4 linked regions of the Notamacropus eugenii genome follow. The protein of the gene in region 4 binds, or shares a complex with, the protein of the main gene of each other region. Links are inferred from orthologs where the notes say so. Each region holds a gene or a part of one and is shown on either strand. Other genes may lie near its edges.

The links.
Region 1: POLR3G (region 4) and POLR3F share a complex: the UniProt entries of both Homo sapiens proteins name them as parts of the RNA polymerase III complex. The link is inferred for Notamacropus eugenii from reciprocal best matches to the Homo sapiens genes POLR3G and POLR3F.
Region 2: POLR3G (region 4) and CRCP share a complex: the UniProt entries of both Homo sapiens proteins name them as parts of the RNA polymerase III complex. The link is inferred for Notamacropus eugenii from reciprocal best matches to the Homo sapiens genes POLR3G and CRCP.
Region 3: POLR3G (region 4) and POLR3E share a complex: the UniProt entries of both Homo sapiens proteins name them as parts of the RNA polymerase III complex. The link is inferred for Notamacropus eugenii from reciprocal best matches to the Homo sapiens genes POLR3G and POLR3E.

The regions. Positions count from the first base shown.
Region 1 is NC_092872.1:593,328,045-593,335,856, reverse strand, and holds the start of POLR3F (DNA-directed RNA polymerase III subunit RPC6), read right to left. Parts: upstream 3,011-7,812; 5' UTR 2,912-3,010; coding exon 2,850-2,911; intron 1-2,849. UniProt on the Homo sapiens protein: DNA-dependent RNA polymerase catalyzes the transcription of DNA into RNA using the four ribonucleoside triphosphates as substrates.
Region 2 is NC_092873.1:43,130,572-43,138,266, forward strand, and holds the start of CRCP (DNA-directed RNA polymerase III subunit RPC9), read right to left. Parts: upstream 3,015-7,695; 5' UTR 2,863-3,014; coding exon 2,855-2,862; intron 696-2,854; exon of another isoform or gene 586-695; intron 1-585. UniProt on the Homo sapiens protein: DNA-dependent RNA polymerase catalyzes the transcription of DNA into RNA using the four ribonucleoside triphosphates as substrates.
Region 3 is NC_092874.1:396,629,035-396,636,906, forward strand, and holds the start of POLR3E (DNA-directed RNA polymerase III subunit RPC5), read right to left. Parts: upstream 3,016-7,872; 5' UTR 2,933-3,015; intron 2,669-2,932; exon of another isoform or gene 2,530-2,668; intron 1,015-2,529; 5' UTR 935-1,014; exon of another isoform or gene 931-934; intron 1-930. UniProt on the Homo sapiens protein: DNA-dependent RNA polymerase catalyzes the transcription of DNA into RNA using the four ribonucleoside triphosphates as substrates.
Region 4 is NC_092875.1:450,149,639-450,157,199, forward strand, and holds the start of POLR3G (DNA-directed RNA polymerase III subunit RPC7), read right to left. Parts: upstream 3,018-7,561; 5' UTR 2,785-3,017; coding exon 2,702-2,784; exon of another isoform or gene 2,608-2,701; intron 1-2,607. Other genes in the region: acyl-coenzyme A thioesterase MBLAC2, read left to right, coding at 3,457-3,910. UniProt on the Homo sapiens protein: DNA-dependent RNA polymerase catalyzes the transcription of DNA into RNA using the four ribonucleoside triphosphates as substrates.

The sequences.
Region 1 (7,812 bases), on a different chromosome or scaffold from region 4:
TATGTCAGGCACTGGTTTAGGCAATGAGAAAATAAAAAATCAAAGTTTTTACTCTCAAAGAAGGAACTTAAATTCTATTTCATCACCTATTGCCCACTGGAACTTTCAAACTGTATATACAATAAGCATTTCAATACTTCCCAAATTCAACTCTCTATTTAACTTTCCTGTTTTTGATACGGGCACAATCATACATCCAGTCACTCAAATTCATAAACTGAGAATCATCCTCCGTCACTCTCTCTCTTCTTACATATAAAATCAATTACTTTCTCATTCTCCCTCATCCCACAGCTACTATATCCAATCAAGTCTTGTCAATTCTTTCACTAAAACATCTTTTATATCTGTCCCCTTCTATACACCCAAACCATAGTTCAGGCTCTGATCATCTCTTGCCTGGACTACTGAAACAATTAATCTAGCCTCTGATGTTTACCAGCTATGTGATCCTGGGCAAATTACTTAAACTCTCCCTGTCTCAGTTTCCTCATTTATAAAATGGAGATATGAATAGCTGTGAGGATCAAAGCCGTAAAGCACTATATAAATGCTAACCATTGTTGTAATTTCCTTTTGTCTCGGATTTCTCCCTCTTTTCAGTTCTCTACACAGCTAAAACACAAATCTGACCACATCCCTCCCCTGCTCAAGAAGCTTTAGTGGCTCTCTACAATCTATGGAATAAAATACAAACTCCTTTGTTTGACATTTAAAGGCCTTCACAGCCTGGTCCCAACATACCTTTTCATAAATATTACCCTTTATTCCTTTCTACCACAGTATCATCTTAACTCCTCACTTTTTCTCGGTCCTCATAGCCACTGAGTTGTTAAATCCTGTTAATCTAACTTTTAAAATATCTCTTAGGTGTCCTTCTCTCCTGACACTTCCAAAATCCTCTTGCAGGCCCTCATCACCTCATCCATAGATTATGAAAATAGCTACTGGTAGGCCTTAACAAGTATCTCCCCACTCCAGTTTATCCTCCGTTCAGCTATCAAACTATATTCCTGAAGTGCAAGTCTGACCATGTTACTTCCCTACTTAATAAACTCCAGTGGTTCCTAAATACCTCCAGGATCAAATATAAAATCCTCTGTTTGGGTTCAAAGTCCTTTATAACCTTCCCCTGACACACACACCTTTCCAGTCTTCTTCCCCTGTACATTCTTCTCACAATATATACTCTACAACCCAGTGATAGTGATCTTCTTGCTTTTCCTCACACATCCTCACACAAATTCTAACTCCAGTCATTTTCACTGGCTGTCCTCGATGCCTGGAAGGCTCTTCTTCCTATTTCTGCCTCCCTGCTTCCCTTTCACTTTCTTCAAGAAGCTTTCTTGATCCTCATTAATCTTAGTGCCATCCCTCTGAGATTATCTCCATTTTACCCTGCATATATTTTGTTTGCATAATGTTTCAGACTACAAGTTTCTTGAGAGAAGACGGGTTTTTTTGCCTTTCTTTGTATCTCCTAGAACAGTGCCTGACACATAGTAGCCACTTAATGATGCTTGCTGATTTGACCTTCTTAATAAAATCTCCTTCCTCCAAACTGTTTAGTGAATGAACAAAAAAAGCACTTATTAGGCATTTCCTATGTATTATGTGCTTCACTGAGTACTGAGAATACAAAGATCAAAGAGAAATAATTCAAATCCTCAAAGAACATCCATTCTAATAGGAAGAAACAAAGCATATATGAGAGTGGAGGTTAGGTAAGAACAGTTTGGCCCAGAAGTACAAGAGTAGTGAGGGTATTAACTGGACTCTTAAAATGAGATTGTCTTTCCAAAAGCAATTAAAGTATTGATCTGATTGCTGTTCCTAGAGTAAGAGGTAGGAAGAGTGCACGATGGAAAGCAAAGGGCAGCAGCATGAATGGAAGATTAATAGGGAGAAAGTACGGTCAGGGGCATGGGGTCAACTAAATACGATGAGCTTTCACCAGTCAGGGCATTAAGGACCAAAGGTAATAGTTCCAAGTGTCTTTCCTCTCCATATATGTATTTTGTATGTGCTTATATACGTATACGTTGTTTCCCTCCATAGAAGCATAGTTGAAACTGTTTCACTTCTGTCCTTGTATCCCCAGCTCTTAGGTGGGGAATTGACAGGTATGTTTACTGACAGAATAATTAATAAAACGTTATGAATGTCCTTAGGTTACAGTAAAGACCTTTACCTAAGCCCTGTGACGCTTATCTTTTTAAATATATTGATAATCACACAGCAACATAATTATAATTTTGTAATAACTATATAACTTTGTAATCCTATGTTATTTTGTTTTATCCGTTTAAAAAAATAACATTTTAAGAAGAGATTCACAGGTTTGACAGAAAAAAAATTTAAGAATCCCTGGGTAGAGCCTGAGGTCTTAGGTTCCATTCTGCATTCCTTAACTCTGATACTTCCTCACACTAGACCACAGACATAGTCCAATTATCACCACTAGTAGAATGATTTTCAAAGCACGTTTTTACGTCATTTCATGAATGAATGAAAAAGCCTTGAAGCACTTACTATGCGCCCAGCACTGTCACCTCAGTCTACACGTGTAGCTTTAGTTAACTATCTAGACTGTAACAAAAACAAGCTAAGTGATTTAGAGTTCGTTTGCAAACTTCCCGAAATCAATTCGAATTGACCCAGACACAAAGACTGGTAAAGGTTAGGAGGGGCCGAAGCCCTCGGGACAGTCTCTCTCACCCCTCCCCAGGACCTTTCACTCCCCAAGACCCCACGCGAATCCCAAGGAGGAGGGCCCGGGAGGAGGCGGGGGGCTGGTGGAGAGGAGAACGCAAACTATAGATCATTCATTCCCAGCGTCTCCTTTTTACCTGTTTTCTATTTCCACTGGGTCTGCATCAGGCGGCTGTGCCTTCACTTTTACCTCAGCCATGATTCAGCCGGGGGTGAGAAAGCAGGAGCTAGCTCGAACCTCCAGCAGCCTCCCCCGGGCCTCCGCCCCCACCTGGGCAGAAAGGGGCCTTTTTCTCTGAGTCGCATCTCAGCCAAGGACCCTCTTTGAGCTGTCTAAGTCACGCCGGTCCCGTTTGACAATTGGGTGCTGCGTGGTTCGTGCACAGAGTTAACTATTTAAAGTATTTCTCCACACATTCAACGGACTCATTGCTTTCCTTGTCCCCTTAGGCTCTCCTCTTCAATATTTCCCTTCCATAGATCAGGCGAATATTGAAACGCCTAAGACGCTTCTTGAGTTAGAGGTAGGAAGAGAACTAGCAGGATTCTCTGAACGGCTTGGAAGGGGCGGAGCCAGTTGCTAGGAAGCTAGATTTGAACCAATCAAAATAGTCTCCTCGGTTTTGGCTGGTGCTGAAGCGTCTCTGGTAACTGGAGTCCTCAGGACCCGCCAGGTGAGGAGCGGCCGGAAACTGGGGTCAGTCTAGGCGGGCACAGGACACCCCAGGGGAGGACAGCAGGATGGCAACACCCGGGAAGCATCTGGTCTGAATGAATGGGGGGACCCCCTTACCTGGTGGGAACACCTGCGTTTGGGCATGACCTTGGGCATGACCACGACCGAGTTTGGCCCGCCGGCTTCGGGTGTCTGACCCCTATCCTTCCCGCGGCTCCCCGGACTTTCTCTGCGTCCCTGGGGCACATCCCCGAGCACCTGCGCGGACGGCCCCGGGATGCCTGCTGCTGCCAAGCTGGCGTGGGAGAGAGGAGGGCCCGCTGCTGGGGCCTCCGCAGCCGTGTAGAGCCGCCTGCCCGAGGCCCGTCCTGCGTGTGCTTCGGCGGGCGCTTTTAGACCTTTTGGGGGTTCCCCTCGCTCTCGAGGATTTCCCTGCAAAGTCACTGCTGCTGCAGAAAGCTTATGCACGTGTGTAATTGTGGGGAACAGTTTCCACCCCGTCTCCCCCCCCACAGTAGACATATATAAATATATATATTGTGGGGAGCAATTTTCCCCCTAAATCGTTGCTAATGCAGGAAGCTTTGTATATGTGTGTATAAATGTATGTGTGTGGATGTGTGTGTATACATATGTATATATATATATATATATATATATACACACCTCTGTACACATAGATGTGTGTTTGTGTATATAATTATGGGGAACAATTTCCCCACGAAATCACAGCTAATACAGCAAGCTTGTGTGTGTGTGTGTGTGTGTGTGTTTGTCCTTCTTTGCTGAAGAAGACCATGCCGTCAGAGAAATAATGACATGACTTGCACGTGACTTTGACACACATAACAGATGTATATATTTATATATGCACACATATAACTTGTGTATATGTATATACACACACATAGCAAGTGTATTTTGTTGTTGTTCAGGTGTTCAGTTATGTCGGACTTTACTGTGACTCCCATGTACTTTGTGGTATTTTCTTGGCAAAAATACTGGAGTGGTTTGCCATAGGGAACTGAGGTAAACAGGGGTTGAGTGGCTTGCTCAGGGTCGCCCAGCTTGTCTGAGTGTCTGAGGCCGGATTTAAGCTCAGGTCTTTCTGACTCCTGCTCCAGTGCTTCATTGCACTACTAATACTTGTACCCTGACTGTTAAATATGGTATCTGCCTGAAGGGACAATGGAGGAGGCAAAGGCATAGCCAACAACACTAAAATATCTTTGTGGAGTTTTGGAGCCCAGATGTAAAGGCTTCATTTTTGGGAAAACCAGACTTGTTCATCATCCACCATTATGAGCTAGAGTGTTCGTTGCAGGTTAGTGTGTGGTGAGTGGTGTGTTTGTATAATATATGTGTGTGTGTGTGTTTTATTGTTGTTCAATCATTTTCAGTTGTGTATGACTTCATGACCCCATTTGGGGTTTTCTTGGCAAAAATACTGGAGTGATTTGCCATTTCTTTCTCTGGCTCATTTTACAGATGAGGAAATTGAGGCTGACAGGGTTAAGTGACTTGCCCCCAGGGTCCTCTAGCTAGTAATTGTCTGAGGCCAGATTTGAACTCAGGAAGAAGAGTCTTTCTGACTGCAGGTCTGGCACTCTATATACTGCACCGTCTAGCTGCCCTCTGTATATGTATATATGTGTATACATACATAAATACATACGTATGCACACACATATATCACAGCTACTGCATATGTATAGATATATACGTATATAGTGTATATACGTATATATATGTGTATATAGAGAGAGTGTCTATATATGTGTGTATCATAGATAAGTATATACATATAGCTAGTGTATCTGAATAAATACATTTCATAGCAAAGTGTATATCCACATATATCATGGCAAGTGTATATGCTTATATATGTATATACATATCATAATGAGGTTAATTGAATGATATTTTACACCCAACCTGATAAAGAGGCAAAGAAGGTGCAAACACTGTGAGTTTCTTCCAAGGTGCTTCTAGAACAAGGGTTCTTAACCTAGAATCTAAAAACCCCTCCAAGGCACCCTCTAAGGATCCACAAATGGATTTCCTGGAGCCTGTGAATTTGGGTGGGAAAATAAATTACATCTTTATTTTTACCAACCTCTAACGGAAATGTATTGTGTACTTCAATTGTGAATGTAGACAACAATAATATTCTGAGAAGGGGTCCACAAGCTTCACTAGACAGCCAAAGGGATCCATGACACACAAAAAGTTAAGAACCTTTGTATTAGAAGGAAGAAAATATCTTGCTCCAAGTTTGTAGTTTTAATCTGAAGTGAGATATAATTCAGTCCTCGAAGGAAAAGGACATGTGTTGGAATATTTTCCACATTAGACCACATTTTGAATCATACAACTGACCAAGAGGTCTCTGTTTTTTGGTTAGTCATTACAGAAAAGGATTTGGTGAAGAGACTGAAATGTATACTTAAATGTGTATTCAATGCCTCCAATATTGTCTTCCACAAATATGTTAAGATCATACTAGATTTCTTTAATGTTTTTTTTATATCATAGGGAGGATGAGATTTGTGATTTCATTGGTATAAGGAACTTCTGGTGAAGACTATCCCTCTACCAGTGCATAGGATTCCTTTTTAGATTTAATACAATTAACCCAATATTTTGTTGCCCACCAGACCTAACAATAGGGAACAGAAACTATGGGCTGGTGAACTGTCAGGTAGAGTTGAGGAGAGAGGAACTAAGAAGATTGAGAACTTGTGTGGTGCATTAAGGTTTGCAAAGTGCAAAGTGTTATCTCATTTGATCTTCATAACAATCCTGTAAAGTAGGTACTATTATTATCTCCATTTAATGGATGATGAAACTGAAACTGAAAGATTTTAAGTGACTTTCCCAGAGTCACATAGCTAATCAAAGTCTGGAGTAGGACTCAAGCTCAGGTTTATCCACTGGACCGCCTAGCTGCCTCAGAAGGAACAGATCAATACTGTACAATAAAATACAATCAGTGCGTATAATACTAGCACTTTTAACACTGGCTCAGGCAGTGGAAAATGCTTTCTCACTTTTCCAGATAGATATCTTTGATCTACCACTGCTTTCCCATTCTATCTCATATATGTCAATTTTAAATGAATCTTATATGTATAAAAATATTAGAGGAAGAAATCCATCCATCTCTTAACCTCAAACCATACCCTGAAATCTATTTCTGTTGGCATAGTACTAATCAGACAACATGTATTTATTGCACCAGGCTCTGTGCTAGGCCTAGGGATATAGGCATAGATTAACACAAAAAGAAGAAAACAACCCCTCCCCTTAAGGAGCCCTTCTATTGAAAGAGTCAGCATGTATACATATCAATATAATAATAATAGCTAGCGTTTACGTTTAGTTTTAAAGTTTGTAAAGTGATTTACAAATTTTAACTCATTTGATCCTCACAACAAATTTTATCCCCATTTTATAGCCCAAGAAGTTTAAAAATGTAGAAATTAAATGATTTGACCAGGGTCATATAGCTAGTAAGCATCTAAGACGAGATATGAATTTAGGTTTATCCTGACTCCAGGTCTGGGGCTACAATGTATACAAAATAGTTGGTGGGGAAGAGGTGTTAGCACCTAGAAGAGTTAGAAAATGCTTCTTCTAGGAGGTTGTACTTGAACTGAGCTTTAAAAGAAGCTAGGGATTCTAAAGAGATAGAAGTGACATTCCAGACGTGGAGGGGAGGGGCATGTCTGTGCAAAGGTGTAAAAGAAGGAGATAAAATTTTGCATGCAGAGAATACCAAATAGACCTTTTGGGCTAGACTGTGTAATGAGATGGGAAAGGTAGAGTGAGATAGTGATTAATTCTCTAAGGTTAACTTGTATATGATCACAAAAAATCCAGGAAGAAGCTTATACTTTTAGTTAATTACAAAATAGCTCTTTAGAAAGTGGCCCTATTTAGCTAAAGAGATTTAGACATTATTTACATTTATCCTCAATACCTTATGGTGGAGGTGAGCGCTCTGGTTTGTCCCCCATTACTTATTTAGGAGAAAAGATTATGCTGTAGCCATTCCTAAATGTTCTCTTCAACTGCTGAAAGGCAGGAAGGGTAAGATCAAGATGGCACTGGTAGAAAGGAGACAGAAAGAGCTTCCTTCAAGGAGTTAGTCCTTCTAGGAAGCTCTGAAGAGTGTGATACAGATTTTTTGGTTGTCTGGATTGTTGGACTGGCAGAAACCTCGTGTGTGTGTGTGTGTGTGTGTGTGTGTGTGTGTGTGTGTGTGTGTGTGTAAGCCATATTTGTAGAAAATACAGGCTCAGAGATGTATTGGCTATAATGTGATAATTAACAAGTCATTTAACTTCTCAGTACCTCAAACAATTCTCTAATATTACAAATTTCAGATTGGTTGGATCTACATGGTGGAGGGAGTTTCATCA
Region 2 (7,695 bases), on a different chromosome or scaffold from region 4:
CTGGTAAGCATTTGAGGCATGATTCAAACCAAGACTCAACTCACTCTACCAAAGGGGTCCTTCCACCAATGACACTCACCCTAGAGAACAGTGAGAAGCTAGAAACTCCAATTCTAAGAAACAGCTAGATGAGTATCACTTTCTCTTTCTTGCTAAATGAGACAATAATTGATCCATTTAAGGAATATTCCCGGAAAAGGGAAAAAAAGTCACAACCCATCAGATCATGTTTCCATCCACAGAGATGGATTTGTGGGCACTCGATCCCAAAGGTACCCAAGCCTTGTCACCCCCTCTTTCTCCTGTAACTGACACCCAACACTCAGCCTGAGGCCTCCTTCTGTCTCATGGACCTCAATGTCTTGAGGGCACCTCCAACTCCACAAGAACAAAACTGAACTCATCATCTTTCCTCCCAAATCTTCCCCTCTCCTACACTCTGCATTCCTGTCAAAGGCCCCTCCATCACCTTGGTGACTCCTCACTCTTCCTCACCCCTCACTGCTAAACAACTTTGAAAGACGTAAGAATTCTGCTCAAAACAACAATAGCCCAGGATTCCAGACGTTGAAAAACACTACCCACCTCCTGACAAAGAGGATGGAAGCAGGCTGCAGATGGACAATGTGGGGATTGTTTTGAATGACTGCTGATTTGTTACGTGGGTTTTGTTTTCATTTTTTCTTTTTTTTTTCCTGATGGAAGAGAATGATGGGAGGGGAAAAAAAGTATATTTTTGTTATTTTTAATATTAAATTTTTTAAATATACATTTTAAAATATACATTCCACAGTGTCTACATTAACAGCAATATCGTACAAGGATCAACTGTGAATGACTTAGCATTACACATATACTCTCAGCAATGACCCAAATGACCCAAGACATTTCCAAAGGACTTATGATGAAAAAGGCCGTCTGGCTCGAGAAAGAACTGACGGAGTCTGAATGAGACCAAAGCAGACTTTTTACATTTTTTCTCGGGGTTTTTTGATCTGTGTTTTCTTTTGCAACCTGGCTAATATGGAAATGTTTTGCACAAGTGCAAAGTCTCTATCAAATTGCTTGCCTTCTCAGGGAAAAGGAAGGGTAAGTAGGGAGAGAATTTGGAACTAAAATTTGTTTTAAATGTTAAAAATTATTTACATAATTGGAAAAAATAAAATATTTAAATATATACATACATATATATAATACCTCTACACACACACACACACACAGAGTGCAATGAATAGCACATCAGCCCTGAAGTTATGAGGACCTGAGTTCAAATCCAGCCTCAGACACTAGCTGTGTGACCCTGGGCAAGTCACTTAACCCCCAATTGTCGTGTGTGTGTGTGTGTGTGTGTGTGTGTGTGTGTATGTGGACATGTGTATATACTAGGATCACAGATTTGGAGGTCAAAGGAAACTTAGAGGTGAAGTCAATTCAATAAAACAACAAAATTAAGTAATCTATTTTAAGATAACAGAGATAAGTGATGAAGCAGAGAACTCAGCCCCATGTCCTGATTCCAAATGCTGTTTTCCACTGTACCCCCACATATAGTGCTGGTTATTCCTTGTTCTCACCTACTATACATATACACAGGGTACTCTTACATTAAGAGTCACAGAAGGTAAGATGGGCAACCTATGTTACAGGTAATCTTAAAGTCTTTGCACAAACAAAACCAATGCAGCTAAAACTAGAAGTGAAGCAGGTAAATGGGGAAGAAAAATATTTGCAGTTAGTTTCTCTGATAAAGGCCTCACTTCTAAGTTATATAGAGAAATGATTCAAAGTTATAAGAATTGATCATTGATTCCTGAATTGATAAACCAAAATAAAAGGAAATGAACTGGAAGTTTTCAGAAGAAATCCAAGCCATAAGGGGGGGAAGAGACTCTAAATCACCAATAATTGGAAAAATGCAAATTAAAACAACTTCAGTTCCATTTAATTCACTGGAGAAGGAAAGGGCAAACCATGCCAGGGTCTATACCGTCAACATGGTCCATGGGGTCACCGGAAGAATCAGACACAGTAACAAATGTAACAACCTCACACGCATCCGATTGGCAAACATCCAAAACAGGGAAACAAGAAATAAGAGGTACATGAATACACTATGGGTACAATGGAGAACTGTCCAGCCTTTCTGGAAAGCATGTGGAGTTACCCCCAAACTGTGCGTACCCCTTAACCCAAAGAAATTACTACCAGCTCTACCCAAAGAGGTCAAAGAGGGAGGGAGAAGGTCCAAAACACCAAAAGGCTAATTCTGGGGTGGCAAAGAGCCGGAGCCCGCAGGGCTGAACGGCTGGACCAGTCAGTCATATAGTGCGGATGCCAAGGGGGTGGAAGGAGAAATGAAGCTGGGGTTCCCCAGAAAACTGGGATTGGCAGTAACTGATACCCAGTGGAAGGGGCAGAGCCAGCAGCCCCGTCTTCACGATAACCCCAGCCCACTTGCAGCTCCGAGGCAGCAAGGCCCACGGACGCGCCCCCCACGCCCTCCTCCCTGACCACAGAACGCCCACGGACCCACGCGGGCTGCAGGGGCCACACCAGCTCTTGGGCTATTACAAAGGAGAGGGAGGAACAAGGCAGATTCTGGCTCATTTCGGAATTAAACCCCCTGCCTCTGAGAACAGCACGAGAGCCTCCCAGGACGCCTCTCCCCAGCCCCTGGGGCACACAGGAGGGGTTTAAGGAGCGCGGACAAATGCACGCGCGTGCCAGCCCAGGAATGCCCACGCACGGGCACGCACAAGTGCACGTGGGCACCGACACGCCCGCACAGCCATGCGGGCACACTCCGCCCTCCTCCCCCAGCCCGGGCCTCCCACGCGTGGGGCCGCCCACTCACACTTCCATCGTGGCCCCTCCTCCTCCGCGCTCTCCCACGGCTCCGAGATCCCGGGTCCACGCTGAGCTGCAGGCCGCGGCGCCGGCCGGGGGCAGGGCACCCGGTGCACGTCACGGGGCCGCCCAGCCTCCGCGCGCGCGCACGCACGCCGGGGCCGCCCCCGGCAGCACGCCGTGCCCTCCCTTAGCTACGAGCCCGGAGCAGCAGCGCCCAGCCCCCTCGCTGTGGCCGCAGGGATGGGCGGAGGTAGCAGGAGAACGCCCTCGACCCCCTAGCCTAAGCCACTCCCCTGGTTTGGGCTGAATCAGGCCGAGATTGCTGCTGGCCCCAGATGCCCGTGGAGTCTGGCACTCAGGATCAGTCAGTAAGCGATAGTTTATATCAATCAGTCACCATTTAGGAAGCTCTGCCCTGGGCCAGGTGCTGTGCAGGAACTGGGGTTGTCCTTCATTCTTAAAGGTGAAATCAAGAAGGTGATACCATGACATGCAAGTGAATTGGATTTCAGTGAGGCAGGGACTCACTTTCTCCTCCAGAGCCATCTGGGTCCAGTGGTCAGATACTGATCAGGAGGACGGGAGATGGCCCAGGATGCAGTGAGAGACCTGGACCTTTTTAAGCTTATGTCAGAGCATGTCTGAGGCACTTCAGTGATGAAGGCTAGGTAAGAAATGAGCAAAGAATGACCTCTTTTAGCTAGTCCAAAAAAAAAATCCATCTGGAAGGGGAAGGCCCTCAGAGTTTCTGGCCAAAACAGAAACAATTGCTATTTATATCTGCTCTGAGCGAGAAGAGGCAAAAATCAGTCCCAGCCCTCAAAGAGCTTACCGGGCACTTAATAAGTCATTGGTGGACTGAGCCTCCCACTCCAATACTTTGCACTAGTGGGGGGTGGGGATGGAGGATAGTAGGTACTTAATGTTTGTTGACCAATCCAGTATTTATTAAGCACCTAGTTTTCTTCCAGGCCAGAGATACAAAGACAAAGAAGGAAAACTATCCCTACACTTAATGATTTGATTGATTAATTAGAAGGTAGAAAGAAATATGGACAGGAAAGAAAAGAAAACATTGCCTTCAGAGAGGTGAGATGGGTTCATAGACTTGCATTTTGAACTCTGTCTTCCTGTGTTTTGGGTCAGAAAGTCTTCCCATTAAAGCAACCAAGCAAAGGAATATGACCCAAGTCTGCCTCAATCCTCTGTCCGTTTCAAACTTTCTTGGAGTTTTTGCAAGTCCAAAGAACACTTAGCTAGTCAGTGCACATTTCTTTTCTCCCTGCTAGATTGTAAACTCATTGAATGCAGGGACCATATCTTATCCAAACTTCGAGTCGCTGTCATCTAACCAAGGGTTCGTTGGCTGAATGGAAGACCTTGCCTCTGTTTATCTTTGTCTTTCCCCAATAATTCTGGGTTTACTCCCATAAGCACAAAAATTCTATTAGAGGAACAGTCTTCTGCACACTTGTTTGCCTTCTTACATGAAAAATCTATTACTCAATCAGTGGACAGAAACCATTCAGAAATGATTTAAATGCCAAATCTGAGGGAGCTGGTTGAGGCACAGAGAAATCAGATGACTTACCCAGGGTCACCCAGCTTAGACCCATAGATTTAGAGTGGGAAGGGTGGCAGTGGTCGGGTCCAACCCAATTCCTCACTTCAAATTATCAGGCTTTTCCACCATATTGATCCAGCAGATAAGGCATCATTCGAACGCATGTCTTTCCTTTTCTAACCTCAGCACTCCATCTGTTATGCCACAGCAACTTCTTCCTGCCTACTTAAGCAGACTTTGGGGGAGAATAGTAATTGCTAATATTTAGTGTTTAAGGGTAACTTAGATTACTACATATACACATATCTACACTTTACATACATTATTTCACTTGACAGGGGAGGAGCAAGCGCTGTTATTATCTTCATTTTACCGAATCGTAAAACAGATCCTGAACATGATGAGTCTTTTTATTAATGGCTCAGGGTCATCAACACACAAGACCTAGTGGAAAGATAGATAGAACTGGAGTCTTTTATACTGTCAGGATTAGAATCTGGACAAGGCACTTAACCACTGGCCAGACCCTGATTCACTTCAAATATGCTCTCAGATACTTACTAGCTGTGTGACTTAGATCACTTCACCCTTTTTGCCTCAGTTTCCTCATCTCAAGCTGAAGAAAGAAGTGGCAAACTACTCCAGTATCTTTGCCAAGAAAACCCCAAATAGGGTCACAGAGACAAGACTGAAATGACTAGACAAAAAAAAGTAGGTTTTTAATAATAGCTGGCATTTATATTCAGATTCAAAGTATGGAAAACATTTTACAAACACAATCTCATCTGATCCTCACAATAACCCCATAAGGTAGTGTGTGGGATGGTTCAGGTCCCTACATAAATCAGTTACTCAGAGGCCTCTCAAAGTGATGACAGAAAAGAGATTTATTCGATTCTCGAGAAGCGGGGCTAACCTGTAGGAGTAGGAAAGACAAAGACAAAGAAAAGGGCAGTGATTTATATAGACCCTAACACAAGTCCCTCCTCCCCCCACTGACCATTATCCTCATTAGCTGAGAATATGATCTTACATTCTAGACACGAAATCTAACCAATCCTTTTTGAAATGAAGACATTGAGGAATTATGTGAGTTTTGTCCAATCATTGAGACCCTAATACACTACACAGTTTTATATCCTTATATGGAACTATTCTATTCTAAAAATATTGTAACCTTGAGCCTTTAGGCCTTACCTCACCCCTGGAAGAAGAATTACAATCTGAGAAGTCTTCACTAAACCTATCCCACTCAGTAGGATGTTATTCCATTTTTACAGATGGGGAAACTGAGGCTTGGGAAGGCTAACCATCTTGCTCAATGTCACAAAGCTAAAGTGTCAAAGTCAAGAATTAAACCCAGGTTTCCTGGCCCAAATCCAGGGTGTTTGTGAATAATAATAATGACAGGGACAGTTGGTGGCACCATGGATAGAGCACTGGGTCCAGCATCAAGACCTAAGTTCAAATGCAGCCTCTGATGCTTTCTGTCTTTGTAACTCTGGGCAAGTCATTTAACCTCTGTTTGCCTCAGTTTCTTCAACTATAAAATGGGGACAATAAAATTGCTTGCCTTCTCAGTGAGGGTGTTGGGGAGGGAGGGAGAGAATTTGGAACTCAAAATTTTAAAAACAAATGTTGAAAATTGTTTTTAAATGTGATGGGGAAAAATAAAATACTAAATATGTAATACTTGAAAAAAAATAAAATAGGGATAATCATGGCATGACCCTGAACAGTTTTAGCACAATATTTGGCACCTAAAAGGGCACTATGTAAATACTTCTTTCCTTCCCTTTAAATTATTAATAGCTATCATTAAATAGCACTTTGAGGTTTGCAGAGCTCATTACAAATATTATCTCACTTGATCATCATAAAGGAGGGCTGACAAGACAGAAAAACAAAACTTTACCTGCCTTCAGGGAGTTTATCTTCTACTGGAATAAAAACTGGAACCCAGGTGAATAAATATAAAACAGTTGGTAGAGGGGAAATGAAAAAAGCTTCCTTTAGGAAGTGACTTGTGGGCTCTGGAAGAGAGCTTGGGATTCCTGGAAGACAGGAGTTGAGAAGGGAGTTTTTCCAGACTGAGGAGATCCTCTATCCAAAAATATGATGGAAGGCCAAGTATAGAAGGAAACAGTATGGTCTGGCTACAGATTAGAGTGTGTGGTGGAGGAGTAAAGTGACATCAGTCTGGAAAAATCCGTCGGGAGTAGATTGGGGTCTTGGGCATTGGGACCTTGAAGGGACCTTGAAAGGACCTTGAATGCTAAATTTTGAGATTTGGATTTTTTTCCTAGAAACAAGAGGGAGCCACTGGGACTTGTTGAGCCTCGTGGTCATATCAAGGACATCAATTTGGCTTGGATGCAAAGGACAAATTGGAGAGAAAAGGCAGGCCAATTAGGAGGCTTATTGTAACGTGGTATCCAGCTGAGTCAGGTCCATGACAACTCAGAAAAAAACAAGTCCCCAGGACTGACTTACTTCCAGTGACATCTCATAGATGGTGTAATCACCTAAGGGCGTTTCATCGAACCTGTCACCCTCGTGTGCGCACAGGGAGGTCAAAGACATGATCCCTGCCCTCTCTGCTTACGGTTGAAGTGTACCAGGCTGGCTCTGAGGTCAGTGGTTCAGGCACAAGAGAGGACGAAGCCGAAGGCCAGGTCAGACAGATGAATGGATCTGGTATTCTCAGTGGCTACATTGTAGCTGGTTTTGCATGTGATCCTGGCCCATAGCAACTTCCAGAAATCTTATAGAAAACAATGTCGGGTAGCCTCCGAACCTAGGGCCATGTCTGAAGCTGAGCAAAGAGTACAGCATGGGAGAGCAACGTGGGGTAGGGAAAAGAACCCTGGATTTTGAGCCAGAGGCCCTGGGCTCAAATTCCTGGTCCTCCTTTAAGACTTTGAGAAAGCCCCGTAAGCGCTCTATGCCTCAGTTTCCCCATCTGTAAAATGAGGGGGTGGACCCCTGAGGTCCCTCGCAGCTCCAGATCTGGGGTCTGAGAGGGGAGGGTGGTTTGGGTCCAGCTCCATCTAAATGGAGAAGGTGGGAGAAAGGCGGAAGGAGGACAAGGACCCAGGAGACATTTTCCAAGTCAGCCTGGGAAGTTCCCAGATGGCGAAGTCACACCCCGAAGCGGGCAGGCAGATTGCATCACCGTCCAGGCTCTCCTGATGGCCACACAAATATGGGAGGCGCCGGTGACGCCCAGGGACAAGAGGCGACCCACTGCAAGGGCAGGTAAAGCCGCCAGCCCCTCCTCC
Region 3 (7,872 bases), on a different chromosome or scaffold from region 4:
TATAGGGAACGCCATCAGACATGTTTCCTGTGTAAGTTTTATTTAACCTTTTTTTAATGTTATAAGAGAAGGCTCACTGAGCGGAAGGCTAGAAAGTATATCTGGAAATGGCTGTGACAGAAAAAAGCATCAGAAATATGAGGGTTGGTTGCTGTCATTTAAAGAAGGTGCATCACCAGGATGACCACATGATGATGAACTTTTTGGCCATATCAACTCAGGGGTTACAGATTTGCTGAAGTGGAGCGAACACCCAAAGAGAAAAAAAAATCATAGCTCAGAGAAACAAATCTACATATAGTCCTCCTCATCATCTATAAAAAGGAGTGTAAACTCATAGAATCCCTCTCTTCCTTTGTAATGCTACCCAAGAACCAAGTTCCAAATGTAGCCTTTCCAGATCCTCTCAATTATCAGGGTCCTCCCTGCCAGACTATACAGTCATTAACACTTTGTATCTTTTCTCTTCACATTTACACTGTATCCTTGGTTTTTTTTTATTCTTAGTATCTCCCTCAGTGTCTTCACCGTTGGCACTTAGGAATGAATGAACTAGAGAATACAAGAAGAAATAAAACCAAGTGCCCAGCTGTATGGTACACACACTTCTACAGGGGATAAAGTGCTCAAAAGGAAAGAAGGTATAATGGAGATTCAGTATTCAGCTACCCTTCTGCTATTCTCTCTTTCTGGGGTTTATATTTGGATGTTTCTACCTTTCTCCTGAATAGTCAACTCAATGTACCACCTTAGTAACCACTTTTCCACCCATCCTAGCCAGGAAAGCTTAAGTTTTTTTAAAAATCTTTTCCCTTTATTCAAAAAAACAAAAACAAAACAACAACAACAGAAAACAGCCTCTTCCCAGCCTCATGAACCCTCTGTCTCCAAGGGGATCTTGAAGAGACAGAAGGCCTGGAGAGCACATACCTACCTGCCCAGACGGGCAGATGTGGGTTTGCCCTGGGAGCCGTACACCAGCAGCCAGGTTCTCCTCTCAAATGTCAGTACCAACTGAAAGAAAAAGAGGCATGAAGAATAACACAAAAAATAAAAAAAAAAAACAAACATCCTGTCCGCGGCAACTCATAGAAATTCATAGCCAGGGCCACTGCCCTTCTCGTCTGGCTCTCTAGCGATCTGCTTTAGGTCTAGACTAGTCAGACAATGAAATCAGCCAATTCTAAGTTACCAGGAATGGAGAATTTACAGCATGACACCAAAGCTGGAGCAAGCTCAGGGATGCTGAGATCTCCAGAAAGGAAGTAGACCTGTTCCCTGCCATTCTCATAAAAGCCAGAGATCCAGAGTTGAGGTCAAACTATCTTGCCCTGGTCTCCTCTGACTCTCAGCCATTTACAAACCTGAATACTTTGCTAGTGTTAGACGGCTTGACCTCTAACCCTAGGAAAGGTGAAGAATGGGGAATTTCTGCTATTACTCCACATTTGAAAATGATGCAAATATTTTTAAGAAATCATGAAAACTGAAATGGGCTCCGGGAACTAACATGGTCAGTAATCTCAAACCCGGAGACTGGACCAAAGAACAATTCTCCAGGATTAAGAGGGGATGTGTACATGTACTTTGGGGAGGGGAGCCAGAAAGGAGGAAATCCTAAAGAACCAGCCTGAACCAAGGGGGGCATCGATCGCACAACCTCTAGGGTTTAACGATGGCAAAAGGGCAGAGCTGCCACAAACTGGCGGCATGACTTTGAACAGGTTGGCTTCTCAATAAGAAGAGGTCATTGGACCAGAGAGTGCCAAGGCCTCTCCCGGAGGTCCAGGATTCTAAGGTGATCCTTGGGTGGAAGGATGGTAAGATGGCAGAAGGGCAGCTCTCAGGGAAGGCTACCCCGAGGGGCGTGCTCTCCACCTGTCCATGCCACCATCTGCTGGGCTCTCTTTCTAAGGTGCTGCCAACACCACCTCTGCCCCAGGACCGCGGGAAGTGCCCCGTCCCCACTCTGACTCACTTATTTCTTCCCCAAGTCAGCCCCCCACAGCTGTCACCGGCCGTGGAGACCTAACCTCTCAAAGGCAGGTGTCTCCAGGAGAGGGTGGCACCGCTGGGTCACCTGGAGTTACCCACTGCCTGCTGGGTCAATGGGCAAACTCGGCCTCCCCAGTTCCAAGCCCCCCATCTCGAGGATGGGGGTCCAGCCCAGTGGGAGCCCCCCCACTCCTGCCCTCCCACCCCCATCCGCCGGCCTCCGCACCTCCTGGAGCAAGAGCGCCCCGGGGTGTTGGGTCAGAGGATGGCCAACCCCCGGGAGACCCCACCCCCGACCGTGGGAGCGGCAAGGGAGCCACCCCGGGCGCCTCCCCACAGCCCTGCACAGTCACCCCGGTCGCGGCCCCCCTCTCAGGCCCGCCCTCCGGGACGCCTGGACCTGGGCAGCCGCAGGAGCCCGCTCCGGGCCGGGCCGGGCCTAGCCCCCGAGCACGGCCGCGACGCCTCCTCCGGCTCCAGCGCCGCTCCCCGAGGACGTCCCCCGGCCCCCACGACAGAAAAGCTCTCACTCACCGGGCCCGAGGACGTCGGGGAGGGGGCGGCTGCAGGGGGAGCGGCAGGGACGGGGGAGGAGCGGGAGGAGGAGGAGGAGCGGCGGGAGGAAGCAGGAGGCAGAAGCGGCAGCTATCTCCGCGAGCTGCAGGGGCGGCGGCGGCGGCGGCGGCGGCGGCGGCGGGCCCAGCTCTCTCAGGCAGCAGCCATATTGCTGGTAAAACTCCAGCAGACACGTGGGGGGAGTTGGGTCCTCCCCCGGCTCTTCCTCTTACCCACAATGCCCCGCCCCGGAGCGGAGCAGAGCGGAGCTCTCCCCACTCTCCGGGCCGCACTTCCTCTCCGGACCAGCAGGTGGCGCCGAGGCACCTCCCCCTTTCCTCGCCTTCTCTCCCTTCCGCCACCTTTTCTGCACCACCCCTACCTCGGTGCCTGGAGAGGAGCGGCCCTTCCTCGCCTTCCTACCACCGATAACTTCTGCTCGCAGGCCGCAGGTGGCGCTGGAGCGCGGGGGAATGGGGAGAACCAAAAAAAGCCACTTTCTGGCAGCGGTGGGATTCGAACCCACGCCCCCGAAGAGACTGGAGCCTTAATCCAGCGCCTTAGACCGCTCGGCCACGCTACCTAGATACAGAAGGCGGCTTCTTGAGCTCTAGTCAATCTATGACAGTGAGTTGTTTTGTTTTTTTTTTTTTGTTTTGTTTTTTGGACGCTCTAAGAGTCAGAGCTTCCCGGAAGTAGAATTCATCCTCCTCCAGCTTCCGGATTTTAGCCCTCCGTCTCCTCTCTTGCGCCTCCCTCCCAGACCGTTAGTCCCCGGAGGACAAAAGCGGCTTCTTTTCGCGTCCTTCGGGCCAAACTCCAAGCCTGGTGTGTCCTGGATCTCGCGTGGAATCGAGCTGTCCGGTAAAGACTGACTTGTTGTTCTCTCTTTATAAATAAAAAATATACATCTTTTTAAAAAGTGCCTCCCATTTCTTATGAATGTCTTGTTTTAAATCTCATATTATCTCTCTTTTCCTCCCCTCCCCTTTACCCAGAGAGACAAACATTAGGAAATAACCAGCCGGCTCCGCCACCCCGCGCGTGGGTGCTTGTCCCCTTCCGAGGCTGGGAAGGGGGAGCCCTTCTGGGGCAGGTCTTCAGGGCCCTTTCACAGTGTTTTCCATTCGCATGACCGCACTCATGTGTGCTGTTTTTAGCTTACCCCATCCCAAATCAGACAGCTCTTCCTAGCATTCCCAAAAGGAGAACAGTAAAAAGTAAAGGCCATGTGACCTTTAGAAAAATCTAAGTTAGAATAACTGAAGTTCCACTTCTAGCGAAGATGACGGAAGGCAGAAATGGTTGATGTTCAAGAGGCCGGGAAAAGCCAGGGACAGAGCGCGCTGTCAGAGGAGCTGCGCGGCGGCCCAGCCGTGCTGGAGGGCGGTTTGGAATGATGCTGAAATTGACCAGAGTGGCCACACCTCGGCGCCCTGACAGCCCCGCCGGCCCAGGAAGGGAAGCTTGCATGTATCCAAATGGTCAAGCGGCACTCTGCAGCAGGGAAGAATTGGACGCAGGGACCACCGTTTGGAAATTTGTTTTTGCAAATGTGGCACATGAATGTAATGGAATATTATTGCCGTAAGAAAAGAGGAATATGAAGGTCTGTGAGTGGCTCTGTGAACTTCTCATTTGATTTGGAAAGGGATGCCCTTAGGTAAGGTAGACACTGTGCCGTTTGGCTCTGGTTCCTTGATTAGATGAAAATACTTTCTGTTGGGATCCTCCATCAGAACAGGGTGTGAACAGGGCCTGTGTACCTCTTTGAATCAATCAAAGCCATTGTGTTAGAGACTTCCTTAAGAAATTTGTATGAAAGGAAGAAGTCAAGACAACAAGCATTGATTGAACACTTAATTGTGAGATGTTGTGTAAGCCTATAAAGAAATGCAGATCTATCTATCATCTATCTATCGATCATCTATCTATCTATACACACACACACACACACACACACACACACACACACACACACACACACACACACACACATACATATATATGACTTGAAGGTAATCTCAGAAGGGAGGCATTAGCATTGAGGGATATGAGACTTCTTGACTTTTACCTGAAATTTAAAGAAAGTTAGGCAAGCCAGGAGGAGAAGGAATATCCCAGGCATGGGAGACAGCCAGTGAAAGTTTTGGCATTAGGGAGATGAAATAGCTTGTTTGAAGAACATCTGTCTGAAAAAGAGAAATAGATTTGGAGCAAATAGGGGAAAGGAAGAAATAATCTGTACCAGAAAAAAAGAAAATAAAGAGGAGAGTTATTGGTTCAACAGGCATCACAGAGAGGAGGAGGGCCCAGGCTGAGGGAAATCCAGAGAAAAGGACATCTCTGTCCCAACTTCCCTTGTTGAAGCCACAGTCACTATAATATTATATGATGTTTCATTACCCATATTTTTCCAGTAAACTGAATTTTGCCTCACCTGCAAAGAAATCAGGGATTAACGAAAGATAGACTTAAATGTAATAGAGTAAATGTGAGGCAGAGAGTATAACTCTGCCCAAGTGTTAGGGATTTTCCTAACTGGGGACTCCAGAACAATTATAACTGAACTCAAAACTTGCCATCTAAAACAAATTCCATAGTACTAAAGGGGATTTAACAAAGCAAACAAAGAAGGTACCAGGTGGACATTTGGGGCCAATAAATTTCCCCCATTTCCCCATAAAATGAGATAATTATTGTGAAGAGGTATTACATCCTGGTTGGTACCTTGATAAATGCTTGAGTATACCAAAATATTATGAGAGGATAGTTCATATTCATGTGTGTATGTATGTATACATATACATATACATACACACATATATTCAATTCCAATTCAATCCAATAAGTTTATATTAAGTTCCAGTCACTGTACTAGGTGCTGGGTATACAAGGACAAAAAGGAAACAATTCCTGCTTTCAAGAAATTTATAAGCCAGCAAATTCTTGACAAATGAAAAGTACATATATACAGATGATCCCCATATTTCGAGTTTAGACAGGCTGAAACCAGCCACTCAGAGCTTCCCAGAGAGCTGATTAAGCTCTAGTTGACCTACTTCATTACCCTAATTTCACAGACCTGTTTGAAACTGTCAAGCTGAAATGTCCTCAAGTCAAAAATGAAGCAGAAGCCAGAGAATATAGGAGGGTGACTCCACTCCATAGGATGAGTTAGGGCTAAAGCTTGAGTAGAATCCAAGCAGAGTTCCCTGTGCTCAGTAGACTAAAGTAAGAATCCCTGTCTTTGCTAAACTGGAGTTATTAAAGAAAAATATCTAGGGGAGAATCTGGTGATAGAGGCAAGGAGAACAGAGGAGATAGGGGTCATTGCAGGGGTGTGCTGGAGCTAGTGTTTGAACTATTTAAGTTTGATTAAATTTTCAGTGTGAGAATTTATGCCTCAGAAATCAGCAAATGCTATATATTTTAGATCTTGACCTATTGCTTTATTGATTATCTGGACTTAAGAAAATGATAGAGAAAGTGTTAATACTGAAAATTAAACTTGAGTATGTTCTATGTATATTTTTTTAGAGAGCAGATTGTTAAACACTTAACAAGAGGATGTAATGGCACACATCTTTTTGATTTTGAGTTGTGGGAATGACACCAGAAACTATCCCTATCCCATTCTTCTCTGGATCTAATCACACTCTATTCTAGCTTCTTAGGCTACTTCTGAGCTGCTAAGGAGTGTCTGAGAGCAAGGACTTGACTTACCTGTTTTGAAATTAGCATGAAATATATAGTTGCACAAGTCACTATAATGAGACATCATTGTCACCATGCAGGCAAGAAATGACCTTGTGATGGTCGAAGCCCAGACATAATAAGGGAAAACCCAGCCAGGGCAATTTTGTTATTCAGGTCAAGCAAGACACGGAAGGAAAGAAAGGGGAATTTATTAAGTATCTACTACATGGTCAGGCCCTGTGCTAAATGATTTGCAAATATTATCTCATTTGATCCTCCCAACAACCTTAGGAGATAAGTGGTATTATTAACTCCATTTTAAAGTTGAGGAAATAAATAAAATAATCTTGAAAAAAGAAATAAGAAAAATAAAGTTGAGAAAATAGAGGGAAACAAAGGTTAAATGACTTGTCCAGGGTCCTACAGCTAGTAAGTGTCTGAGGCTGAATTTTACCTCTTCAGGCCCAAAGCTCAATCCACTCTGCCATTTAGCTCTTACCATCATGTCTCAATTTACATGAGAGAGGAAAATTCCTTAAAAAAAAAAGAAGTCATGTAAATCAAATGGAATTCTTTGACTTCACTTCTGATTAAACCCAACACTTTAGCTTTCAGTTTCCCTGCTTTTTCCTCTACTCTCCTCCTATCCTACAGCCTCCTTCAAGTGATTATTGCAAAAACAAGCAGTGAACTACTCTCCTAGATGAGTTTTACAGTAAAGATGCCTTTTAAGATCAACATATATTTATTGAACACTTTCTAGTGTGCAACTGTTGAATGCAGTGACCTAGGACTGTGAAATGCAAAGATATGTGTATCATACAATCTCTGTTGTTCGCTAGCAACAACAATCTTAATACACTATTCAGATGTTAGTTATTAGTATTGCCATATCAAGAAAATAATTAGTCCCTCATTTGCCTGTTTTTAACATAAAATTTTATTTGAGTCTTTTAAAAAACATATTTCCCACAATATCCTCCTTCAAGGAACCATCCTTTGTCACCAAGAAAAACAGTTTAAAAAAACAACAGACAACCAGCCTTGTTCGCTGCTCCTGTACTCCCCTACCTGAGAGTTATTTAAGGGAGGGCTATGTTCCTTCATTTGTGCCCTGGACCCAATATTGGTCATTAGCTGTAATTATTTTACCTGATTCTAAGCAGTATTCTGAGTTTCCTTTACAAAAAAAAGCATGGGGAGAGTCAGTCAACAAGTACTTATTGAGTTCTTACAATGTGCTAAGCACTACACAAATAAAGAAAAGCAGAACAGAGGTCCATTCCCTTAATCATGAAGGTAGTTGCTCAGTGGAAAGAATTTCTGGCCTGCAGTCAGGAAGACCTGAGTTCATATCATATTCAGATACTTACTACCTGTGTGACCCTGTTTAAGTGATTCCCCAAATGGAGTCAAGAACAGTTGGAAGGCCCTGGGATAGTGTTGGAGGAGGACTGAGAAAGGCTTCCTGCTGATGGTGGGATTTGAGCTGCATCTTCAGTCTAAATCAGGAGGCAGAGGGCATGTAATTTAAAGATTTTCCCTGACAATTAATGGGCCTCAGATTAGGGGAGGCTTGTTTTGTAGAAAGGCTCACATCTTTGTTAATTGCTAATGAGGCAC
Region 4 (7,561 bases):
CTTATTGAACTGAAATTGTTCTTTCGAGGATTACTAGTGATTTCTTAGTTGCCAAATCGAGTGGCCTTTTTTCATTCCTCATTCTCTTTGACTTCTCTTCAGCCTTTGACATTAGATCACTCTCCCCTCCTTGATAATTCTTCCTGGGTTTGTAGGACATCCTTCCCTCGGAGTTCTCCTCCTACCCATCTGGCCACTCCTTCTGTTTCCTTCTCTGGATCTTCTTACAGATCAGCCCTTCAACTTGTGTCCCCTCAGTGTTTGGTCCTGGGCCCTCTTCTCTTCTCCAATTCTGCCTCACTTGGTGATCTCATCAGCTTCCAAGGATTTTAATGACTATCTCTATGCTAATAACTCTCAAATCTACCTATCCTGCCCCAAGCTCTTGGCTGACCTCCAATCTTGAATCTCCCTAGGCCTTTCATACATCTAGAATTGGATGTCCAGTTGATATCTTGAATTAAACATGTTCAAAACTGAACTCATTAACTTTCTCCCTAAACCCTTCCCGGTCCCTCACCTTCTGGATCACTGTTAAGGTCAACATCATCCCTCATATCCTAGGTGTTATTTTCACTCATATATCCTGTTAGCAAGGCCTATCAATTTCACCTTTTCACTATCTCCTGAACGCAGCCCTTCTCATCAATGACACTGCCACGACCAAAGTACAGGCCCTCATCACCTCAGATCTGGACCATTTTAATAGCCTGCTGGGTTTGCCTGCCTCATGTCTCTTCTCTCCAATCCATACTCCATTCAGACGCTAGTGATTTTCCTTAAGTGCAAGTCCAATCATATCACCTCCCCACTCAAAAAAAAAAACCCCAGTGACTCCTTATTGCCTTTGGGATCAAATAAAAAATACCTTTTTGGCATTCAAAGACCTTCATAATCTAAACCCTCCTACCTTTCGAGTCTTTGTATATCTTACTCCCCAACACACACTCTTTGATCCAATAGCACTGGCATCCTGGCTGTTCTGTAAACAAAACAGTCCATTTCTTGGTTTGGAGCATTTTCTCTGGCTGTCCCTAATACCTGGGACTCTCTCTTTCCAAAATTCCTACTACTGACCTTTCTAGCTTATTTGAAGTTCCAACTAAAATTCTTTCTTCTACTGGAAGCCTTCCTGACCCCTCTTATTTCTAGTGCCTTTCCTCTTAACAATTTCCTACTGTATGCTTACTTTTCATATATCTGCATGCTATCTCTCCCTAATTAGCCTGTAAGCTCCTAGGGGGCAAAGACTCTTTGCCTCAATTCCTATCCACAGTGCTTAGCACAAGTCTGGTACATAGTTGGGGCTTAATAAAGGTTTGTTGATAGATTGGTATTAGTTACCTATTATGTATAAAGCAGGCCAAAAAAAGAAAGGGAGGATGTCCTGCTCCCTAATCCATTCTAAACCTTTTCTTCCCTCCTCAAGTCTCTAATGATCTCCTATCCCCTCTACCTCAGCTGAGAACTTATAATATTCACTGAAAAAAATCGAGGCCACCATCTCACAACTTTCAGATGACCTCTCTTGTATTCTCCATCAAACTGTGAGCTACTGGAGAGCAGGCACTGGGTTTTTTGCCTTTCTTTTGCCACTTAGCACATGGCAGGCATATAGTAGGGGCTTAATAAATGCTTGCTGTCTTGACTTTCTAAAGGGGTATAAAATATGAACAGAAAGGTAAATACAAAATTTCCAGTCCACACCTCCATCATGACTAAAGTCATCCTAAGCAGTTTATAGCCTGATAATAGTATACTCTTCCTCAAACAGAGAGGCATGTTAGTATTTGTCTCCATAAAATAGAGTTCGTATAATTATCTTTTATGACTGCATATTGCAGACTTCAAGAAACTCTCAATCCTGGGAGGGCCCAAGAATGCTGTGTGGATAGAAGAGCTTTTCTGGCCAAAGTCAGCCTCAGGCCACAATCCTGGGAAATTTTCTAAATCTCCGTGGGTGTAGTCAACCAATAGGTGGGGAGGAGGGTAGGGAGAGCAGGTTAAAGGGAAAGTTCTTTTAGGAGGCTAACTGGGCCACACCCACCCTTTCCAGTCTTCCCCAATTCATCTTTTGCCAGCTATCTTCTCTTACTTTGCTCAGCCTCTTCCAGTTCCCATCCCCCTTGCCTTGCTTTTATTCCAACCATGAAAAAGTGTAAAAAATAGATCTTATTTTGTTTTAGAGCTTGGCAGCCCTCCTCACCTCATGCCACGGTTTAATGTGCTGACAGGTAAGTAAAGAGATACTAAATGTTCTACCCTTTGCTGCAAGCCTGCTGCAGTGACCAGTAATACCTAGGAGGGGAAATCCCTTCCCTACAGAAGGTTATGTCCATATAACGCGGTTAATGGCCCACAAAGTCCTCAGTAATGAGTAAATTACTTTCTAATCTCATAGCAGTCAGCCCAGCAAGGGGGACCCAGGTTACAATCAGATAAGAATCATTACAGAACATTTGGGGTTTAATGGGAACAGAAAGAGGCAGAGGGGTCCAAACTTCTTTCTGGCCGGGGGCTAGGTTTCAATTAACTTCTCCTAACCGAGAGCCCTTTCCTTAGGCTCCACATCAACTCCCCTTGCCCCTCAAGGTCCCCATCGCCTACCTCTCCTCCCTGGCCGGGCTTGGCTGGGGCTGCTTATGTTCTCAAACTCACAAGTGTGCCCACGAAGGCTGGCAGGCAAAGGGTGCTGGGTTACCTGTGCAGCCTCTCCCGGTCGCAGGGTTCCACCTCCAAGCAAACTGAACCCCTCCCTTCTCTGTTTCCCCTCCAGAGCAGCATTCAAATTCCAGCCGGCTGAGGCCTCTTGGCCCCGCCCCCAGGCCCGCCCCCTGCACAGCAAGCTTTTTCAGCCCTGGGCAGGCGCCCTGCCTGCTGCCCGAGCAGCCTCGCCCCCACCCTTTCCTGGCCGGCTTGGCGAGCCCTGGCAGGCGCGCTCGGCCCCCGCGAGCTTCGGGCACGCGCGCTCACACGCGTTCGCGCGGGACCTGTGGCTCTGCAGACGTCTCTCTCTCTGCCTCCCCCCTCCCTGCCGTTGCTGCAGTTGGACCCACCCCAGGGTGAGGAGGGTGGAGCGAGAAGGTGCCGCTGTGGGCGCTCGCCCTCCCTGCTGCAGTGGGCTCCGCGCTGCCATTGGAAGGCGCTGCCCCGCGACGCCCATTCGCGGGGGGCTCGGTCCAGGCTGCGGTTGCTGGCGCGTCCTTCCCACCTCCCCACCCCCGCCCCTCGCCCGCCCCTCCTCTTGGCCCTGGGCAGCGCAGCCTCTCCCGCGCCCAGCCCCCCTGGCCTGAGCCCCCGCCGAGCCCTCCTCCTCTCCAGACGGCGCCGACCGCCTGTGGGAGCTGCAGCTGTGTCCGCAGCCCGGAGAGAGGGAGAGGCCCCGCCGCACTGGTGTCTGCTCGCGCCCCTGCCCCCCGACTCCCGCACTCTCCCGCCTCACATCCCGGCCCCGGCATGTCGGCCCTGGAATGGTACGCGCACAAGTCCCTAGGCGACGGCATCTTCTGGATCCAGGAGCGCTTCTTCGAGTCGGGCAACCGCGCCAACATCTGGCTGGTGCGCGGCACGGAGCAGGACGTGGTGATCGACACCGGCCTGGGGCTTCGAAGCCTGCCCGAGTACCTGTACTCGGCCGGCCTCCTGCAGGACCCGGACAAAGGGGAGGACTTGGTGCGGCGGCCGCTGCTGGCCGTGGCCACCCACGTCCACTTCGATCACGCCGGTGGGCTCTACCAGTTTGACCAGGTAGCGGTGCACCGGGCCGAGGCGGACGCCCTGGCCCGCGGGGACAACTTTGAGACTGCGACCTGGCTGTCGGAGAGCGAAGTGGTGCGGGCTCCGAGCCCCGGCTGGAACGCCAGGCAGTTTCGGGTGCAAGCGGTGCAGCCCACCCACATCCTGCAGGAGGGTAATGGAGCGCTGGCCCCTCCGTGGGGAGAGGGGCGCCAAGGGAGGGGGAGGGTGCATGCGGCCTGGAAGAGCCCTGGTGAGCTTAACCAAACGGAGGGCGGGGGGGGGGGGGGTGTGTGTGAAAGAGAGGGAGATCCTTTGCCAAGTCACCCAAATGACACCTGTCTCCATTTCTTCCCTTGGAAGGAGAAAAGCTCCTTGGAGAGGCCCTTTGGGTTCCCGGGGCCCTGCAGAGGGGAGGGGAAAGCGCTCTGCTACAGTAGAGATACAATGTACTACTAGTGGAGTGGAAGACGCTCCGCCCCCTAATTAGTTTCCCTAGCCTGGTGCAGTGGGAATGCCACAGGCTGTGAGACTGAATTTCCTGAAAGATTTCCACCCACTCATTCCCATTCTGAGCACCTGTTTGACATTTCCAGTCACTTAAGGAAAAAAAAATTCTTTTCTCCTCAGCCTCTTCACGACATAGATCTCCCTCCCTCCTCTTTCAGACCCTACCTTGGAACCAAAAGACATAGCCACCGTTTGCAGCATTCCCCACCCTTAGTTTCCATTGCTACTCGAAAGGGAAATATTTTTATTTGCTTTCTAGGATCAACACAAGTTATTGCTTTTTTAATCGGAATTCTGATGCTTTTTAGTGTTATTTATTCACGTTCTTGTAGTCGTTGGCTAGGTTTCCTTGGTTCTTCATTCTGCCTCAGTTAATCCAAGTCTTCCCAGGTTATTCCTTATCTCCAAATGACATCCAGTTCTGACCCCATTTACCTTATGTCTGTTGAAAGAATAACTGTCTAAAAATCACCAGCACCGAAATGAGAGAGCCTAGGTTCAAATTCCACCTTTCATTGAGTGTGTGACCTTGAACAAATTAAAGCTCTTGAGCCTGAATGTTTTTTTAGGAGCACTAGATACCATTTAAGGGGACTTCCAGTCAGAAATTCTTAAGATGGGAGAAAAATTACAGCCTTATTTCAATATAATTCAATATAATTTGTAATCTTATGTATTTTATACCTTTAAAAACATTCTGAGAAAAGGGCCATAGGCTTTGTCAGACTGCCAAGGAGGAATACATCTACAAAACCCTTGCTTGCAGGTCTATACTAATGAGAATCTTATGATTTTCATTTTTCCTATCTGGGCCTGTGATTACATTTGTATGTGACTTCCTCCATCTCATATTTGGCTCTGCTTCTTTTTTGTAACTTGTTTTGCTAGGTACATTGAAGGGTTGAGTGACTTCCTCACCGACCCATAGTCACATTTGTCAAGGCAAAATTTGAACAGAAGTCTCTCCCCAAAGCCAGATCTCAGACCACTACACCAGAGTAATATTCCATTACATTCATATGCCACAATTTGTTTGGCCATTCCCCAATCTTTGGCCAGACGCTTTTGGCAGATTTGAGGGAATCAGGATAAAGCCCAGGGTCACGCAGCTAGTAAGTGGCTTGAGGTCTCATTTGAACTCAGGTCCTTCAAACTCCAGGGTGGGTGTTTGGTCCACTGTGCCTAGCTGCTCCTCTGGCACTGTTCTTAAATCCATATTCTCTCCCCGCCTCCTTCCCCCACCCCCAGATTCAGGAAGCCAGAAAAATAAAACCCTGTTACAAACATGTACAGTCAGGTAAAACAAATTCCCAAGTTGGCCATGTTCCCTCCCCCCCCCAAAACGTCTATCACATGTTTCATCCTGAGTCCTCTGGAATTGTAGTTGGGCCTTCTATTAATCATAGTTCCTCAGTCTTTTAAAATTATCACTATATCACTGTTACTGTATAAATTGTTCTCCTGGTTCTGCCCAATTCACTCAGAATCAATTCAGGCAGGTCTTTCCATGTTTCTCTGAAACCATGCCCTTTACCTTTTCTTATAGCATTATATTATTTCATCATATACATTTACCATAATTTTGTTAGTCATCACCCACTTGATGGGAACTCCTTCAGTTTCCAATTCTTTGTTGCCACAGAAAGAGCTGATATAAATATTTTTGTGCATATGAGTATTTTTTCTCCCTCTAATCTCTTTAGGGGTATAGAGCCTTTAGTGGTTTTGCTGAGCTGAAAGTCATAGATAATTTAATAATTTGGAGGGCATATTTCCAAATTGTTTTAGAATATGACTGGATTTCATAACCTATTTTCCCCAAAACCCTCTAGCATGTCATTTAACTTATTTGTCTACTGTATCAATACCGTGGGAATGAGATGGAATCCCAGAGTTACTTTAATTTGAATTTTTCTAATTATTAGTAATATAGAGAATTTTTTTTCATATGACTGTTGATAGCTTGGTTTTCTTCTTTTGAAAACTGCCTAGTAATATCCTTTGACCATTTATCAATTGAGGAATAGCTCTTATTCTTATAAATTTAAGTCAGTTCCCTATATATCTTAGAAATGAAGTCTATCAGAGAAACTTAGTTGCTCATTTATCTGCTTCTCTTCTAAGTTTGGCTGCATTGGTTTAATTTGTGCAAAACCTTTTTAATTTTATATAATTAAAATTATCAATTTTGTCCTGTGACCCCCTAATTTGGTCATGAACTCGTTCCTTATCCACAGAATTAACTAATGATTTCGTCTTTGCACCCCTAGTTTGGTGACCCTTTGACAGTAGTTTTAGTGACCTATGGCCCTTTGTCCAGCAAGCACTTTTAAATAAAAGAGATACTCCATGACTTACATCAAATGGAGCATCCTTAATGCCAAGTTAACTATTTTTTTTGACGATCTCTCCTATCATCAACTCAGTCCATGTCATTATTAATTACCACATGGATCTTTAGATCATTCTAATTCTAATTATTCTAATTCATCATTCTAGAGAGCAATGATTGAAAACTATTTTCAGAATATAAAAAACGATATTTTCTGAAGAGATTTTTGCCTTTCTTGTTGACTCAAAGAAGACCTTGGATTGTGAGAATAGGAAACTAATAGAAGTGGGATGGAATGATCATTTAACCTACCCAAATTCAACTCCACAATTCCACTAGACCTACTAGCCAAAAAAAAAACCAACAATGGGGGTGGGGGTGGGAGGTGCGGGGAGTGGGGGGTGGGGTGGAAATAACAATTTAAATGGTGCCAGTTCTGGTCACTACTAAATGCAAGTAGCCTGTACCCATGAATGTATGTGAGATGGGGAGCTAATCCTTAAACTGGTCTCAATATGTGGAAGCACTGGGTATGATTCTAGAACCTTCTCTCGATCATGCCTACAAAATGGTAGAGCTAATAGCAGGAAATGACAGCCTTAGTTGGCTGTGTACCTTTTTACTTTATTGTGTCCACTCTTGACTGGTGGGGAAGCAAGAGTAGAAAACCATTGTCATTCAAATGATTTTTTTTTTTTTTGGTAAAGTCTTTTCAAGGATAGTTTTTCCTTAATTATCAGTTTTCAAACTAAGACTCTACCTGTTTCGTTGTCTTCCTTTGAATGGAAGTTCTGACTACCTACTTCTCTTGATTAATAATTTAACTAATGGAATTGTGAAAAATAAAATTTGAATCCAGTTGTTTCCATAGCAACCATCTCAAGTCTCATGTGCACTGTCTTAATACCCACTGCCTTCTTTTAATAAACCTGTCTCCTTTTTAGCTGTAACTTTTAAAAGCTACTGTACTATATTTTGTGTGTG